Macaca fascicularis: one gene and its partner. The main gene of each other region encodes a partner of the protein of the gene in region 2 in a complex. Links are inferred from orthologs where the notes say so. Each region holds a gene or a part of one and is shown on either strand. Other genes may lie near its edges. The genes, in order: CD69 and S1PR1.

Evidence for each region.
Region 1: the proteins of S1PR1 (region 2) and CD69 are in contact, whole or in part, in a cryo-EM structure (PDB 8G94), measured with the Homo sapiens proteins. The link is inferred for Macaca fascicularis from reciprocal best matches to the Homo sapiens genes S1PR1 and CD69. Residues at the interface, in NP_001307659.1 of Homo sapiens: Asn157, Leu160, Phe161, Ile164, Ser165, Trp168, Val169, Leu172, Ile173, Gly176, Ile179, Met180, Gly181; in NP_001772.1 of Homo sapiens: Val41, Ala44, Val45, Val48, Val49, Thr52, Ile53, Ile56, Ile59, Ala60, Val63.

What each region holds. Positions count from the first base shown.
Region 1 is NC_088385.1:11,127,137-11,133,327, reverse strand, and holds the end of CD69 (early activation antigen CD69), read right to left. Parts: intron 5,249-6,191; coding exon 5,126-5,248; intron 4,096-5,125; coding exon 3,896-4,095; intron 3,530-3,895; coding exon 3,426-3,529; intron 2,445-3,425; coding exon 2,333-2,444; 3' UTR 1,338-2,332; downstream 1-1,337. UniProt on the Homo sapiens protein: Transmembrane protein expressed mainly on T-cells resident in mucosa that plays an essential role in immune cell homeostasis.
Region 2 is NC_088375.1:133,171,832-133,178,072, forward strand, and holds the start of S1PR1 (sphingosine 1-phosphate receptor 1), read right to left. Parts: upstream 3,619-6,241; 5' UTR 3,526-3,618; exon of another isoform or gene 3,418-3,525; intron 1,538-3,417; 5' UTR 1,375-1,537; coding exon 226-1,374; 3' UTR 1-225.

The DNA of each region.
Region 1 (6,191 bases), on a different chromosome or scaffold from region 2:
CAGTTATCCGTGTTTTATCCATTGCTTTTTCAACATAATTTCAATTTCTTCCTCTGGAGAGGGAAGCACGTTAGCTGGTCATTTCACATAATTATAGGGATTCAATAAAATTATTTTTAAAAATGATAAAATTCATTGAATTTTTAGGTGATACAGTCAGTATTCAATGAGTTAAAAACTATCATACTAATATAGAAATAATATTTTTAAGCTTGCTCAGTTTTCATAATTTGATTAGATTTTATGCACATAAAAATATGTTATAACTAAAATATTAATCACAAGACATTGTTTTCTAAGATGACTCGGGAGTAGATTGTTCTTAACGATAGACTATTAGAGCTAGGAAGCTGCTTGTTTCATTTTTTTCCCACAGCTGTGGGAATTCAGGAGCGCAGAGGTCGTTATTTTTCACTAAGCAGTGTCTGAAATCCACATTTCCGTTTGCCATCTGTCAATAGTTTAGAGATACCATACACATCACACATTTCCAACAGGCAGAGAAGAATATTGCAAATTACATTTATAAAACAGTTTTGAAGGTAATCGAATGTATTAGGCTATTCTTGCATTGCTATGAATATATCTGAGACAAGGTAATTTATAAAGAAAAAAGGCTTAATTGGCTTACGGTTCTGCAGTTTTTACAAGCATAACACTGACACTGCTCAGCTTCTGTGGAAGCTTAGGGGTGCTCTTATGGTAGAAGGTGAAGTGGAGTGGGAGCAGGCATGTCACATGGAGAAAGCAGGAAAGAGAGGGAGACAAAGAGAGAGAGAGAGTGCTGCACACTTTTAAAAGACCGGATCTCCTGAGAACTCACTCACTGTTGCAAGGAGACCACCAAGAGGATGATGCTAAACCATTCATGAGAAATTCGCTCTCATGATGTCATCGCCTCCCACCAGGCCCCACCCTAACAAAGGGGATTACCATACAACATGAGATTTGGGCAGGGACACACATCCAAGCTACATCATCAAGTTTTTTGCTGATTGAAATATCCCATGAAGATTATGCCTCATTTCTATGTATTGAATTATTTTACGTAAATAACTAAAGTGTATATAGCACTTCAGAATTGAACAGGATACTTTCAGAGCATTGACTATGAGGAGTAATTATTACTGAGCATCTTCTATACACAGAAAAATGAATATGCATACATACACCCTTTAGCATATATGAAAACAATTTGATATGTATAAGCTGTTGTAAAACTAAGAGTTTTACCCTAGATGGGATTTTTTTCTAAGTTATAGTACTCTGTTTTCTTCTTTCTCATACAGTATATACTTTTAAATGTATTTTGAAGGAATGAACTTTCTTGGAAACCATTGTGTTTATTCTACTTTTATTTCACATACATGAAAACAGCTTATAATTGTACTGAACACAAAATACAAACAAATACATTTTATTGCACATAAAAATATTTTAAAAGAAGTATTGAAGTATTGCACATAATAGAATTGATTAGGAAAGTCACAAACCTATTATAAGACTAGTATTATTCTAGGTTTGAACATTACAGAATATTTCCTGATAGAGATTTGCCACATCACATATTGCACATTTTCCAACACTTTTCTAGGTTTTACAAATATTCCTCATACTCTTTGCTTATGTCTTTTCTCTGTAAAACAATGTATAAAAGATTATAAAGGTAAAGAAATATGTACCATCGAAAAGGACCAGTCTATGGCTGAGGAAGTAAAAAAATAAATACATGATCATCCCATTCTTTTTGGGGAAAAATAACAAAGTAAATTGGCAAATTTCTCTAAAAAGAGAGAAATATCACAAATCTTAGTTTCATAAGCATTTGTCCATTTATAAATGCTCCCTGAGTTTAAGGGATTCAATGACTAAATATGTATGTTACCAGCCATAATTCCTTTGTTTACATTCAGTATCTAGTACCAACATCTAACTCCTTCCAATAGTGCAAAGGCATGAAGCGCTCTCACTGTTGGTAGTCATTCAGCAATAAATAGTAAGTCCATGCCTAGTTATTTCATTATTTCTGGATTCAAAATAATATAAAGTGCATCCAAAGGTTTCATAGTCATTCTTCTCATTCTTGGGCATGGTTATCAGTCAACCTGTTATGCTTCCTGCTCATGGCAACAAGAGCCCACAATGAAGATTTTTCCGGGAATTTCTTCCTTTTTTCCATAGTTCTGTTTGGAAGAAAATTCCCAAGATACTACAAAAAATTTTTTTTTTTTCACAAAGTCTGCATGGAAAACTTCAGACCACAGAGCAGCATCCATTGACACAGATTTCCTTGAGTTCCATTCTACAATAGTCAATAAGTGAATATGTTTCCTTATGATTTGTAAGGTTTGTTACATATCCAGTATAAATTCTTCTCACATTCCATGCTGCTGACTTCCGTGTTTTTCAGAAAAGCGCACTTCTCAGACCCTGTCAAGTTGAACCTGTCAAACAATAAAGAAACTTACAATTATTTTCAGCTCATTGTTTTCATTCAGTTACATGAGAATGAACTCAAGATGGTGACCTCTGCTTCTTTTAAATTCTCAGCAGGATACATAAGTCAAATAATCATAGACTAATTTGTAGAGACAATGGACAAGAATTGAAAACAAAAGTATGTGGAAAAAAAATATGGAGGTAAGAGGAAAGCACGCCATTCATTTGGCTGGCATGGCACCAGAGAAGTGATTCTTGGTCATTTTTGAGTTCATAGATTTTTCAATAAATAATTTCACAAAATTATATGCATCCAACAGCCAGGCATACTAGTGCATACAGCTTTAGGGGGTTTATGGTTCCTGAAGCCCATCTGTCGATATGGAACCATAGGACAAATATTAGGAATCTCTTTTCTAGAGACCTGAATTTTAATCTTGATACTTTATCAGTATTATGATCAACAACAAACTTATAAAATGATCTTCAAACATTAAATGTATTTTAACTAAAAGTAATGAAAATAGAGTATCTAATTCTGGGGCAAATTTTCTTTCAGGTCTATAGAAATTCATAATTAGGCATTGAAACTATTCTTTATTCTGTGGAGATGAAAACTGAGAAATAGTAAGAGGGATTTATTTTCCAACAACTATCTCATTAGTAAAGACTAAATGTGACATTGAAAGTGGGGTTTTGTTGCATCATCATAATTATCATTAGAATATATCCAAATGAACCAGATCTATTCCTCACATTAGAGTTTGCTGAGAAAAATTACTATAAGCATTTATTTTATGTATTATAAGTGTGGATAAAGAAAAAAGAATAATAATAAAGGCTGTCATTAAAGAATTTGAGTATACGCATTCAGAAGAGATTGTTAGAGCTCTTGAAGAGCTCAGCCTTCGTATCTAAAGTGCTTTGAAAGGAGAAAAGGAAAATGATTTTCCTGAGATGCTCGCCAGAGGCTTCTGGAGACTTACCAGTTGTTAAATTCTTTGCCATTTGACCACTTCCATGGGTGACCAGGCTCCTTTTTCAGTCCAACCCAGTGTTCATCTCCACCTGCGTATCGTTTTAGAAAGTTCTTAAAGAAAGCACAAGGGAGTTGTTACATTAAACACCCTTCTAGGGAAGTAGATAGTAAATCCTGTTTCTCAAAAGCTGCAACTTGAGGCATGACAGCTCATCTGACCATTGACTCATTCTATATAGGATCAGCATATTTGGATTTCTGGTCTTTGAAGCTAAGCAATCAAGTCACATTTAAAAGACTAAAGTGAGTAAATCTCATTTTGACCTCAGGCTGATCATATGGTTCTCTGGGGTGATATTTTCCTACATCTGAAATAGGTACAATATTGTTTTTTTCTTCCACTCAGAAACAGAAGGAAACCACTGATTAGCCATATTAATTAAAATAGTAATATTTTATCATTTTTTTCATTCTTACCATGTCCTTAACAGAATCAATGACAGCGAGAGTAGCACCATGTTCAGAACAAGCACTTTGGGCTGAAGTCCAGCTCCTCTTCACAGTAGAAATAAAGTAGCATTTCCTCTGGTAGCTAACCCAGTCATCAGAGCATGAAGAAACATGGCTATCTGATGGCATTGAGAATGTGTATTGGCCTGGACAATTGTATTGGCCCACTGTGAACAGAAAAATGCTTTGTTTTAGTAACAAAAGAAATGAAATACCCATAGCATGCAAAACTAGCCTTAGGATGCTATGTCGTGCTAGGTGGTGATAAAGTAAAGGATAAAAGCTAAAAAGGAGAATTCTGAAAAGGGTATGAAGAAAGAAAGTTCTCAGGACCATATCTGATTTTCCATTGAGCCTAATCGTCATTGGATGGAGGTATGAGGATGAGGGGATGTACCTTTGGCCATAATGTCAGAAAATGACAGAAATATAGAAAAATTCTGAAAATTTGGACTAGATATTTCTTTGGACTAGAAAGGGTAAAGTACATTATATATTTCAAATAAGGTTTTGAATCTGAATGCAGAGGTGGAAGAATTTGAAGATGCAGTATTTATAACACTAGGTTGGAAAGATGAAGAGAGTAACTTTTAGGGAACCAATTCAAATACAGAAAGACATATGGCTGAGAATATCTCAAAAAATGGTAAACATTCCCATTTGTAAAAGACACAAATATATCTCGGTATAGCTGGAGGTATCGAATACCGAATCACTACTGACTCTCTGGGAACTTTTAAATATAATCTTAATTATTCAGAACTACCATTCTGTGTCCTTTGAGATAAAACACAAAAGACTGACCATTTCCTGATGAATCTATGACTTTAGATACGATTTTTTCCATAATCAATGAATGTGAAGTTCACATTTTTTTTCCAGCTAAATAGCTATTTATTCAGAATTCAAATCAGCTCCCTTCATTCTAGATGTAAACGTCTTTTCAAATGCAATTTTATTCTACAGTAATATATAAATCATAGATACTTTAATACTTATAAAAGTATTACATTAATTATTTGAGGATTGTGGAATTATGTCTAGTATTGAGTAGGAAATTGGCCATATATGGTACATGGGATGATTCTAAATTAGCTACAATTTCTGATTAACTAGACTAAACTAATCTTGATTTCAGCTGGGCATGAATGCTTACAGCTGGGAGGCTTTGAAAGAATTGATGACGAGCAGACCCACCTGATAAGGCAATGAGAGCTATGATTAAAATGGTGATGAAGACCACATTCATTACAGCACACAGGACAGGAACTTGGAAGGATCCTTCACGATGTGTTGAGAAACGGGGGCTGGTGGCGTCATCTGGAAGGGAGAAAGTTGACGGTGAGTTCAGGCAGACTATAGAAGGAATATGCGATATTCTTTTCAGGCATTTAAATTTAATATTTCCTATCTCCTGACATGAAATTTCCCCATCTCTTTATAGAAATTTTTCAAAAGATGTTAAAATAATAGAGGAAATGTAACAGTATTATAGACCAAATATTCAGTGAAAGTTTTTTCATTTACCCTCTGTACAGTGGTGAAACAAAGTAAAAGCCTTTTTTTCCCCAACAAGTAGTGTTTCAGTGGAAGGATTTAGAATAGGAATATGATGTTAATGATAATTGATAGTTACAAAAAACTCTAGGAGGATATCTGTTCTATAGTCTAAGTAAATAACTGAGGAAAGAGAAAAGAGAATTTTGTGATTTAGATTTTGGATTTTAATTTTGCAGGATGAGCTGTTAAGATTCTTAACATGTGGCCCCACAAGGAGTATACAGGTCCGTGTTATGTTCTCAAACACTGAAATGTAAAATGGCTGCTTGAGTAACTGACAATGCAAAACAGTTTCAAAATAAAAAACATTCGATTTTTCAATATGGATGATTTTCATAACTTAAAAAAGTTTACATAAGACATATCCTGAAACACATGTATTTTTATCCTTCAAACATTTATCTAAAGGTAAACTGGACCAAGAGATGTTGCCTTTTTTCATAGCAATTTACTGGGTACTGGTGTCAACATCAACTTTTGCTTTATCTGGAAGCTCTTTTTCCCATCACAGATCTGCACTCAGATTTTGCAAGAGAAGTCTTTACTTCGCTGCCATCTAGCTCGATTTTCTCAACTTCTCAAAGTAAATTTTCCTTTTATCACCTGTGTAAAACCATCATCGGAAGCCACCATTGCTACCCAAGGTACCAAGTTCGGAGCTCTGTCTGGTTTCACTTCACGTTATGTGAGTCAGTTGTGCTGC
Region 2 (6,241 bases):
CAGGCCGGGACCTGATCTCCACCCTTCCCAGTGCATTGTTCACAGGAACTAACTCTACCCACCAACACCCGACACCACCAGGCTGTTCATATTCTCCCCCTTCCTCCCTCTGGCTTGCAGCAGCTCCTCCCTGGCAGCAGTCGAAGCCCAGAGATTGTTTTCCAAACACTGGGGTGGCGAGCGACCAAGTAAAGAGCTCTTCCGGTGGGTGGACAGCTTCCAGTTCTAGGAAGAAGAGTTGACGTTTCCAGAAGACATAATGGTCTCTGGGTTGTCCCCATCGTCCTTCTGGGGGTGGGAGGAATTGTCCGATTTGCTGCGGCTGAATTCCATGCCGGCGATGATGGGTCGTTTGAATTTGCCAGCAGAGTCTCCGCTCGGGCACTTGCAGCAGGACATGATCCGGATGAAGGCCCGGCGCATCTCCTTGTTGGTCAGAGTGTAAATGATGGGGTTGGTGCCGGAGTTGAGCACAGCTAACACCAGGAAGTACTCCGCTCTGAAGAGGATGTCGCAGGTCTTCACCTTGCAGCCCACATCCAGCAGGAGCAGGATGAAGAGCGGTGCCCAGCAGGCGATGAAGACGCTCAGGACGATAATTACGGTCTTGAGCAGCGCCAGCGACTTCTCAGAGCTGCGGCTGGCCTTGGACATGTTCTTGCGGAACGTCAGGCGGCGGCTTCGAGTCCTGACCAAGGAGTAGATCCTGCAGTACAGAATGACGATGGAGAGCAGGAGCAGAGTGAAGACCGTGGTGCAGAAGAGGATATAGTGCTTGTGGTAGAGCGGCAGCACAGTGGAGCAGCTGGGCAGCGCGCTGATGCAGTTCCAGCCCATGATGGGCAGGCCACCCAGGATGAGGGAGATGACCCAGCAGGCGCTGATCAGCAGGAAGAGGCGGAAGTTATTGCTCCCGTTGTGGAGTTTCATTTTCAGCATCGTGATATAGCGCTCAATGGCGATGGCGAGGAGACTGAACACGGAGGCTGACAGGGCCACAAACATACTCCCTTCCCGCAGAAACCACTGGGCGGGAGTGAGCTTGTAGGTGGTGGCCCCAGACAAGAGCAGGTTAGCTGTGTAGGCCACTCCTGCCAACAGGTCTGAGAGGGCCAGATTGCCAATAAAATAGTACATGGGTCGGTGGAATTTCTTGGTTTTCCAAATAGTCAGCAAGACAAAGATGTTCTCGAGGATGATAAAGCAGCAGATAAGAATGAACACCACCGAGGTCAGTTTAATGCTGTTCTCCCTGTCCGCGCTGGTATTCAGCTTTCCCGTGTAGTTGTAATGCCGGACAATAATATCATAGTTGACGTAGTCAGAGACCGAGCTGCGGAGGGCCTTGACCAGCGGGACGCTGGTGGACCCCATGGTGCCAACCCTGTGTCCCCAGGAAGTCGGGGTGGCGTTACTCCAGACGAACGCTAGAGGGCAGGGCGAGAGAGCCTTCACTGGCTGCAGGGGTGGTTCGATGAGTGATCCAGGCTTTTTGTGTAGCTTTTCCTTGGCTGGAGAGGGCCTCGGAAACCGCAGCCTTAAACAAGTCAGAGGAGAGAGTCAGGGAAAGAGCCACAGCATACTGGCATAATTCATTCTAGCTAAGGCACTGCTCCAATTGTGTTACTGTTGATTTGTTTTAAAGAAACTTGGGAAGAGCTCAGGGAGAGAGAATTTTTTTAAAAAATCACTGCTCCTACTCCTGTAGGTTCCACAATTGGGAATTCACCTTTTTTCCAAACTCCATAAATCACAAGTGCCCAAGAACAATCTGATTGAGTTGGGCTCCTTAGTAGCCCAGAGATGCAAATTTTCAGCGCCCAGAGAGATTAAAAAAAAAAAAAAAATCTTTTTTTCTTCCCTTTTTTTTTTTTTTTTTCCAAAAAAGGAAGAGGGGGAAGAAAAAGAGGGAGAAACTCTATGGCCACATTCACTCAAAGAGAAGTGGGAATTATGATGTTGGCTGTGGGTTGACCAAAACAAAAACAAAAACAAACAAACAAAAAAGAAGATGGAAAACAAGGAGTGGGGGGAATGGGAAACCTAGAGAGCACACCCCATTTTAACCCCACTCCTGCCCTCTCGCCACCCCCCACCCTCCCACCCCCGTATTTCCAGCCATGAAATTGTCTGAAGCAGTCACCAGCTCAGCTGCACGCTCAACACCAGCCCACGTCTCTCCTCGGAAAAGACTAGACTGCCAGTCTGAGGGTAGAGACACACACCTCTGTTCCCCATGCCCACCCCTAGCTCCCCTGTTCAAAGAGACGAGCACCACCTCCTAATTGCCATGCAAGAAATCAGATTTGCAGGAAAATCACTTGAAAGCGTAAGTCATTTGGGGGCTCTATTAATAACTCTCTAGGAGCAGGTGTGCCTAGGGTCGGAGGGCGCAGTGAGGTGTGGGCAGCCAGGCCCGCCCCGCCTTGCAGTAAACAGGAAAGCTTAGCGCCTCCGTGAAGCGACTGCCTTTTCTTTCTTCTTCTTCTTCTTCTCCCCGCCTCCCCCGCCCAACCGCCCCCAAGCCAGGGCAAGTAAATTTAAAGGTATTCAGTTAAAACCATTCATAACAGATTGCAGCAAATCCCAGAAGTTTCGTACACTAGTTGATCGCATAAATATTTTTTGCTTTGTTTAGTTTAGCCAAAACATACACAAAAGAGAGAAATCAAACTACTCATGACAGCAATAATACATGCTACCACATTTTTAATTTCGAGCGCAAAACTACTCTTCAGAAACTCACATTAAACTGCTCCCTGGTGCATTGCTAAATTTGCGTGGGCAGTTTTATTTACTGCCGTCCCCCAACACGTTGACTCCTCTCCTAGGACTAGAAAGTTACAAACAAACTAACTTTCTAAGACCGCACTGGTCAGCAGAAGTCTACTTCTAAGTTGCTTAAATATTTCAAGGTAATTCAGCAGTGCAATAAAATGAGGTAATAGAGATGAGAGCAATCCCAGCAACTCCGCGAACAGCAGAGGCTGCTCAAGCCAAGAAGCTCCACATTTCCCCCAACTAATTTTATACCCTGCTCCTGGGCAGTACTAGTTTAAGCCATTACCTACGCCCCACACCACCCACCATATTCTTTGTCTATAGGATTTCCAAAATTTAGCACCTTCCCTACTACTCCTCCGACCAACCGCAGCTTTCACTGCCCCTACCCCCATAGGTTCCACAGTTGGGAATTAACCTTTTTTTCCAAACTCCGTAAATCACAAGTACCCAAGAAAAATCCGATCGAGTTGGGCTCCTTAGTAGCCCACAGATGCAAATTTTCAGCGCCCAGAGATGCATGTTTTCAAAGTTTTTGTTTGCCTCGTTCGGCTTAAAAATTCGTTTCTGACACCTAAGCCCTACCACAGCCGGGCTCCCCGCGCCCGCAGTCCCCCGCCACTCGCCGCCCCCTACCTCGCTCAAGCAGGGCGAAGTTGCGTTCGGAGAGCCCGGGATCTGTACGGCTCGCTCCGCATCTTGCTGCTGCCCCCGACTGACTGCGTAGTGCTCTCGCAAACTTACTCGAGTCGGGGTCCCCTCCCTCCGCAGCGGAGCACTCCAATGGCCAGTCCCGCTCGCCGCGGCCAGTTCCCTGCCTGCTACGCGAAGTCACCCAGCGCCGCGCCAAGGCTGGGTGGTTTCTTCAGGAAGACGCTGGGAGGGGTTAATGCCTTAACCCCCCACGCCCTCTGCCAGCTAGGGGCCCCCGGATCTGAACTGCTGAGAAGCACTGTCCAGGAAAGATCTGGGGCAGAAGCAAAAAAAAAAAAAAAAAAAAAAAAAAAAAGAACTCCTCCTCCGCAAACAACAAATGAAAGAAAAAAGAGAGAGAGAGAGAGAGAGAGAGAAGGGGCGGAGCCCGGTAACCCCTGGATTCTAATGTATAAATCACTGCCCTCGCCCAGATGCACGCTGATCCCTGGCGGTGGAGAGGATTCTCCCGAGCCCCTGAAAAAAAAGGAGGTGGAGAGACTTGGGAAACTTTTCTCTCGAAAAGTCTGAAGGGGCAGAGGACGGCCCGGAGTCTCGTAGCGCACCGCCCTGGTCCCACACCCCCCGCAGCCCTAGGAGGATCGGTGTGCTTAGCTTGTGACCAGGAGCTCCCCGAGCCACTTTCACGCGGGCAGCAGAAAACCAGAGCCGCGGCCCGGCGAGTCTCGGCGGCGCTCTGGGGAGGAGACGCTGGGAAGGGGCTGCGAGAAGTACAGAGGAAACAAGCAGCCCGGGAGGGAGAATGGACCGGGAGGTTCCTGTTCTCCCCGCGCCACCCCAGATCCTGGTGCTCCTCGAAACTGCGGTCTGAGAGGGCAGTGGATTTCCCGGAGTGCACAGAGAAATGAACCAGCGCCGGTTTTGGTGTTGGGCAAGGGGTTTCCCTCAGCTGAGCGCAAAGTCAGACTGTGTGTCCCAGATTCTGGCCAATGGAGAGGTCGTTGAGGAGGTGGGCTGCTGCCGAGTCCTGAGAGATTCAAAACGCCTGGGCAGCTCCGGAATTTCCGAAGGGGAAGATTCTCGGCCCCGCGATGCGGAGCAACTGCAGCTGCCCAGCAGGGGCCGGCACCCTTCTCTCACTTTCTGCTTGAGAGTCGACTCAGAGGCCTCAAATCTCATTACTAGCAACCTGCCCACCCTTTTCTTTTGCTTAGATGCTACTTAAGAACGTGAGGCTGAGAGGCGGCCTTGGTCAGATCTGCCTGCGTGACAAGCTCAGGAGGCTTCTGCCCTTGCCCTACTGTTGTAAAGGTTTCCACCCAGTCCCTGGTCGCACTGCTTTCCCATCCCGGCAGATGTGAACTCAAAAACTTCCTCCGCTGTGCAGTTTCAATTGGCAGACACACCCTGTACCTGAATGACTCAGAAGGAGGCAGAATGAATAAACAACAGACCCCTGACTTCTGGGATTTTGTGAGTTTGCCAAAAAAAAAAAAGAAGTGACAGTTAATTCACAGCTGTTTTAAAGCACTCATCAACGGCGATGCACCCAATACATACCCACAACTTCAGTAACAGTACAGTGCATATAATGTGGAAACTAAGATAACGGTCCTCTAAGACTCCAGAGTAGATCCTAATTGGATTTGAGGACTTATTTCACTTAAAGGGGAAAAGATACATTGTATCTACCCAGCACAACAAAACGGGGGACTTGGCATTTCCCCCTTCACCTGCCCCCACCCACATTAATTTATGCATTCTTTAAAGCCAAAGGAATCAAAGTGAAATTTCACACCTAGTCTGTATCAAGCATGTGCTAGGTTAATTTAACCTTACTGTTCTGTGAAGTAAGCAAGCATTCCTGGCCATTTTATTGTTGAGAGAAGTGTCACTCAGACAACTAAGGTGACTTGTAGATTTTCCAGCTAGTGAGTGGCAGAGCTGGGTTCCAAAACCTAAATACTGCAAATGCCTTGCCTTGTGGCTCAAACGCTATCAGTCAATAAACAGTTAAGGAATTGAGATATATGTTCTTAGAGGGAAACAGACTTCTAGATTTAAAGTTTCACATTTGCATGCATTTCTGACTGTACGTGTCTACAAAATTCATAGAAAAGTATGCTAATGAATGTCCTTTTCAAATCACTCGTTTTCTACATATGCATACAAAGTGTATACACATGCATATTAATGAATGTTTTCTAACACCTCTTATTGTCTGCCTATGATATCTCATGTAACATTGTACTTTTAGTATTTGCACATAGTGTTACACATATCAATTCATTTAATCCTACAAGTTAGGCACTATAATTATTCTAATTTTACAAACAAGGAAACTGACTCCCAGACATATTAAGCAGCTTGGTTAATGTGGGACAGACTGCAGACTCTTAACCACTACTCCAGACCACCATGATAAACCTCAAACAGGTCCAAGAATTTCCTTGGGGATATCAGTTGTTTTCTTGTGAATACCACTGGTTTTTAACATTCAATGCTGATAAAGTGTTTTACACAGTCTAAATACTTTGCAGATTGCTATTTAATAATATTCATCTTTAGTACACATCTATGAGATATAATTGTAGATGATCCACTTATGTAAAATCAGATAGTAGGCAAATGTTTTCAGCAATGGTGTCCTGGCCAATTCCAAGTCTCTAGTTCCCATATAAGTCTCTTCCCATTGCTCTCCAGGGAGGCCCTAAAAATTGCATTCTCAAGCTATCTCCTGATTGCTAGTACAACTCCCTCTCTGCTACTGCCTAGAAGTCAAGGCCAATATTCCTACCTTAAGTTT